Regions from separate parts of the Mus musculus genome. Here region 1 is reported to be linked to region 2. Evidence: microRNA targets listed by miRTarBase, many of them from high-throughput screens and not tested one by one. Region 2 holds a microRNA gene; the other region holds the end of a gene's coding sequence.
The links. The annotated mature microRNA mmu-miR-201-5p reads UACUCAGUAAGGCAUUGUUCUU and lies in region 2 at 1,384-1,405, shown strand. An mRNA with a match to its seed (bases 2 to 7 or 8) in the 3' UTR can be bound and repressed. Matches are read on the target gene's strand: a 7mer-m8 pairs with bases 2 to 8, a 7mer-A1 pairs with bases 2 to 7 and ends in A, and an 8mer does both.

Region 1 (3,000 bases), not on the chromosome of region 2:
GCATTTTAAGGGGATGGATGAGAGTGTATTCTGGAGTAAACATGAGTGTCAGTTCTTATTGAAAAGATCCTCACATTAAAAGTGCTGAGAGCGTGAACTGTGGACTGTAGAGTTCCGTTAAAAGCACCGTTCTTGGGTTGTGTGGTTCTGTGGGGTTTGGGAACGGTTAACCAGCCGTGTGGAGGAGATCCTCAGTCAGGTGAAGAGTGGGGAAGGTTTTCTGTTTAGGTAACTGAAAGGTGACTTGCCGCAGGCAGCCGTGCGTGTGGCAGGTGGGGCCCTGGATGACTCTGCTCTGCTTCCCTCCCAGGTGCAGCAGTGGCCGGCATCTACAGAGTGGCTGGGAAGAACATGGCCCCGCTGGAAGCCCTGGTGTGGGGCGTGGGGCAGACTGTGCTGACACTCATCATCTCCTTTTCAAGGATCCTCGCCACACTCTGAGTTCTGAGGGAATGTCTTCTTCACTAAGGAAACGTGTGGACAGAGTCCCCGGAAATGTGTGGTTAATCAGCTGAAATGAAGTGGTACAAGCAGGGACCCAGCAAGAAAAACCTAGGGAAGACCTTGAGCCGTGTGGCAAGCCTGCCCTCTGGCGTCCAAACGTTTGCACTACCGCACTGCACCTTACGTGCCTCCATCCCAGGCAAGGTGCACAAGACTCTCTGTGAAGCTGCAAGAAGAAGCACCTTGTTTAGTTGCCAATCAGGTTAACATTGGTGTTGAAACCGTCGTTCTCAACGGTGTTGTGTTAAGTTACAGGAACGTTTTGAGAAATTGATCTATGTGCCAAACTTTCCTTTCTGTTAACATTGATCATGTGACAGTTTGCAAGTGTAGACATAGGTGAGTGCTGTGAGTATACTTGACATGGATTCAGGTAACGTAGCCAGGCTTAGCTTTGTCGTGTTAATCCCATGAGTGTTGGATAGTGGGCTTTCAATACCAAGGATGGTGTTCGGTTTGTTAAGCTGAGTGTTCTGGAACTTGGGGCTTTAATCTGTCTCTGTGTTGTTATTTAATTTATGTGAAAACCACTGGTCTCCTCAGTGGACGACTAGCTGAGCTGTTCTATGGACTCAGACTTGTAGGGTGCATACTTTTCAGTAACCTACACCTTTCATAGTTTCCCTCATATATCATATTCTATTTATATGGATCAAACCTTTATGAGTCAAACACATTGTCACTTGTGTGTCATAAAAATATAATTTACATTTTTCTTATAAATTTTGTAAGGAAAAGTCTAAAATGCATGTTGCATTCTTCAACCCTTCTAAAGGTTTTTGCCTCCATCTCACAGAATATTCTAATTCATTGCAGTGGGATTGTGTGCACTGTGTACGTGTCTTGAGTGTCTTGGATTCTATAGTACTAACTGCTTAGAGAGTGGCCTAAATTAGGCTCTGGGATTAAGAATGCTTCATTTATAGGAAAATAATAAGTACCTTACATAGGAAGAGCAGTAAACTGTCTCCCTCTGTGTATGTGGCAGGGAGAAAATTACACTTGGGAAGACTGAGGACTGAGTGGATGGTTTTCAAGTTGGCAGTTAGTCTGAGTGTATCAAGACAATGCAGAACCTTTATCTAAGCGGGGATGTTAGCGGTGTGGTTTAAGTTTGTGATTCTAAGTTATTACCTGAGTCGAATAGAGTCTCAGGTCACATTCATTAACAGTGGAAATGTACTTTGTTTATAAAACCTTTTAGGAGGTTTAGAAAAACACACAGTTGTTTATTACAAATACAGGAAGTTGGGAAAGTACAGACCCTGGTTGAACTGAGTGTGTGTGTGTGTGTGTGTGTGTGTGTGATAACCAGTTGTAACTACAAACGTGCTAACTTAAGGGAAGATCCATTGTAGAAATTATGAATTTATAGGTAATCTAAAGAATAGCATAGCACCTTGAGCTCCTTGACGTAGTTTGGTTGAAGACGTTTATTATCCATGCCCCTTTTCCCTAACAGAGAATGCATTATCAGTTTCGGGAGGAGCTGCTTTGCCAGTGCATCAGCCAACTTAGACTTACTAATAACGTGGCTTGGAAATTTAACAACCCAAAAATCAACCAAGAAGCAAAGCTATATCCTTAGAGATGTCAGAGAACAAGCCTGAAATTGATTTCTTCTGCTGTGCCCAGGCCTGCTGCTCTTCCCATGCATTCTTTGTATTCTTGCTGTTTTCTAAACTTAAACGTGAGCATCTTTTCCAGGTAACCCCAGTTTTCTCTCCTGTTTGGCTGGCTTTGCTCTTGTCAGCAACTCAGAGCTTTGTGTGCCAGCGTGAGACTTAACTGTCTCTGACATTGACTTGTGTACAGAACAAATATTTGTGTTAACATGGTTATCTTATGATCTGAGAAAGTTATCATGTTAAAGTAATACGGAGCCCATTGTTCAAATCTAAAACTAACTAAAGATTACCTTGATACATTGACTATGTGAATGAATGGACCAAAGAGAATTGCGCTTGTTTTGTGCTCTAGGGTGAAAGTCTAAGGGGGTTAGTTACCTCTTTAGAGACTGTCCTGCGGTCATCTCATTGTCAAGCTAATTTGCATTAAGAATTGTGTTCATGTGTGCACTTTTAATTTGATGGGCATTTTTAGTTTCTTCAGTTATTTCCATTGGGATTTTGTGTAACTATCAACTCTTGGTATTTTGAAATGCAATTGAGTAGTGTGGATTTATGAAACTGTCTATATATCTATTTATATGGTAAAGTTTTCAAGAAGCTGTTTCTTATAGAGACAAAGTGTTTAATGAAATATATATATATATACACATAAGAATATCATTATATATACATATATAGATAGCTATATATGAATACAGTCCAATTGGAAAGCTTTGTTTGATGAACATTTTCCTGTTCTTCTGGAGAAGTTGATACATTTGTTTGGTTAAATGCTCTTTGAAATAGACTGGAGGGTATTTAAGGGTTTGCTGGAGACCCTTGTTTTGGATCTGACAAAAGCTCTCACTGACATAGTCAGTTCCAT
Region 2 (3,269 bases):
TATGTCACCAAAACTAGAGAAGAATTTAGGCATGAAGGAGAGGAGAGAAGCTGCTCAGCTTTGTCTCCAGCTATTATTACAGTGTGCCATGGCCTAGACTCATTATGCTTTCGGTATCTACTCAGCATTTCTCTGTGCAGAGAGTACCAGCTAGTCCTGCTATACGTTAGGTGGCTACAAGAACTCTTGTGGTTTTTAATTTTAGGTATTGTCTGGAATTAGTGTGAAATGAAGCCAAGAATCCTGTATTTATGAGTAAAGAGATAGTCTCTAGGCCCTTTCTTTGAATGCTACAATTCATAGAAATTTTTTTTTATATTTACAATGTAGTTTTTTGTTGTTACTGTTATAATTTTCTTTGCTTGAATTTTCTGAGCTGTATTTGAATATACTGCATTTTTGTATGATCTTTTTACTCCTGTATTATTTGTGACTTTATATAAGTATTCTTTCAAGTTCTGAATGACAGTTTAGATCTCCTATTGCTTACTTTGTTCTCTTTTCAGGATTTTTTAAATTTTACTTGCACATTTATTTTTATGTATTCCTTGTTTACTTTCTTTATTTTTGACTTGTAAGTTTATGGCTGCTGCTGCCACTGCAGTGGACTTTTATCTTGGATAAGATGATACCAAGCCAAGATCCACATTTTAGAATAAGAATACCTCAAGTTTCTGAGCTTACCCTTTTCAGAACTATTCCTACTTAATTTAATGCAGCCTGCAACATGTGGAGCTAATGAGTTACTGAAGTGACTCATTCTGCAAGAGCTGAATTTTATGTACACAAAGTATAGGGTGATGAAAACTCTATCCTATATCTATAAAGGGAAGATATGAATGGGGATATCTGATATTTCCCAGTCATAAACTCTTATGTTATTATATGGACAGAACACAAAAATGACTTAAGGAAGACTTGGGTAGAAAAGAAGGACAGGGGTGGTAAAAGAGAAGTAAGAGGAATGAATGTCATTCGTGTCTTTTGAGAAGATTCTTCTGATGATTCATGTAATGAGGGTGTGTATTGGCTTACTAGATGAAATGGCAGAGGGAACAGACTAGTGTTAGCACCTTCACTCATGTAGTGTGTGATGTATCACTTGAGGATGTACCACCCATTTAACAGGAAACATGCTTGGTACATCTTTGAGTGAGATAACACACAACAGCTACCACCTCAATACTGACCCTAGAAAAGGGGCTTGAGTCTCAGCATAAGCTATTTTTTTGCTACTTCAACTCATAGTACACTTTGGAGAATGCTGTATACAAGAAAGGATTGACAGCAATGTTCCCTGGGAATAGAGTCATCTATTTTTCATTGCTTTGTGTTTATGTTAAGATGAGTTGGCTACTTTCAATGATGCTGTGTACAGTACCTTACTCAGTAAGGCATTGTTCTTCTATATTAATAAATGAACAGTGCCTTTCTGTGTAGGGTAATGTGCAACATGGACAACATTTGTGGTAGCATTGATAGTAAGTTTCAGTCATAGATCAGTAATGAACATCCAGCCTTGGGTTATTTCTAAGTGCTCTCTTGTATACCTCTTAAGGAACCAGATCTAGAAACTAAGAGTCTCTTAGAAAAATGTTTGTCCTTTCAAGTTGATATTACAACTAACCAAGTGGAAGGCAAGATATATCGTTCACTTTCACCTTTTAGTCATACATCTTTATATAGTTAAACCATTTATTATTTTAAAGCTATAAAAATTTGTACCTCTATGATATTTTTACAATATTTGTTTCTTATGTAAGCAAATGCTACTTTTCCCCTCAAGAACAAAACTCATTCTGATTTCTTTCAGTATTCTTGTGTGCTTTTGATAACATCCTATCTATGTTTATTTGCTAAAAATCATATCATTACAGGTGGAAATACTGACAGAGACAGAGATAAATAGAGGCATCAGGTTGTACTGTTTTGTTACATTTCTGTATTAGGAGAATCGAGATATGTCAATGCCCCCTTGCTTGTAAACTACATCAAACCCTTCTACTATATTCCATTTTATTTCAAATCTAATGCTTTTAGCTAGAGTATATCTATTTAAAACTTCTAATATGTGTCTTCAAAAGAATGATAGGAGTAAGTTCTCCATATTTTAAGCCACAGTTTTGCTCATTCTGATACTGGTCCAGGCATTTCTTTCAATTTGTTCCCAGTTCAGATTGAGATAATTTCAAGTAACTAGCTGTGTGCATCCCAGAATAGAAGATGGTAGATTATACTGATAATCATCATGCATGAAGGGAATGGTCAAGGAAACCAAAGAACTTAGAACAATATATGGACATTTTTAGAGTACATGATTTTTTTATTCCATAAAGCTTTCTTGATAACTCAAATGGGATTTCCGCATTCTAGACTGTGAGTAGGAAATGGGATTTCCATTTTCTCCATTCTAGACCTTATAAATGATTATATTCTTTGTTTCAGGTATCCTATACGTGCATCATTATTGTTTCATTGCTCAGGAGTTGAGGATCTTTAAGTGGTAAGGTACAAAACAATAAAAACCATGTCTCTGCATGGCTCAACACATATTTGTTCCTATTTAACACCTTAAAGTTTCAGATATATGTTTGTATGCAGATGAGTGCCCTTATAACACTTGTCAAAATCTGCAGATATAGATGACAGAAACACAGAATTGCCACAGATCTCATTTACCAACAGAAATAAAAAAGAACCTCAAGAATAACTACTGTAAGTTAATACTACCTCCTTTTTTCCTTTCCACATTTTTATTAGATATTTTCTTCATTTACATTTCAAATGCTATCCCCAAAGTCCCCTATACCCTCCCCCAAACCTACTTCCTAACCCATTCAATACTGCTTCCTGGCCTTGGCACTCCCCTGTACTGGGGCATATAATCTTCACAAGACTAAGAGCCTATCCTCCCAATGATGGCTGACTAGGCCAAGGTCTGCTATACATGCTCTGGGGGTACTGGTTAGTTCATATTGTTGTTCTTCCTATAGGGTTACAGACCCCTTCAGCTCCTTGGGTATTTTCTCTAGCTCTTTCATTGGGGGTCCTGTGTTCCATCCAATAGATGACCGTGAGCATCCACTTCTGTATTTGTCAGGCACTGGCATAACCTAACAAGAGACAGTTATATCAGAGTCCTCTCAGCAACTTAGAATACCTAAGATACAATTTGCAAAACACATGAAACTCAAGAAGAAGGAAAACAAAAGTGTGGATACTTTGTTTCTCCTTAGAATGGGGAACAAAATATCCATGGAAGGAGTTAC

Region 1: miRTarBase lists Tmem170b as a target of mmu-miR-201-5p. Seed matches in the 3' UTR shown: 7mer-m8 at 1,522-1,528 and 7mer-m8 at 1,778-1,784.

Annotation. Positions count from the first base shown.
Region 1 is chr13:41,634,146-41,637,145 of GRCm38, forward strand. It overlaps Tmem170b (transmembrane protein 170B), which reads left to right. Exons shown (of 3, transcript NM_001163572.2): 3 at 311-3,000. The coding sequence ends at 441. Among named protein-coding and RNA genes, the nearest start is that of Gm5082, 13 kb to the right of the region's middle.
Region 2 is chrX:67,986,271-67,989,539 of GRCm38, reverse strand. Mir201 (microRNA 201) reads left to right here and starts at 1,379; the gene lies at 1,379-1,444. Mir547 (microRNA 547) reads left to right here and starts at 1,089; the gene lies at 1,089-1,166.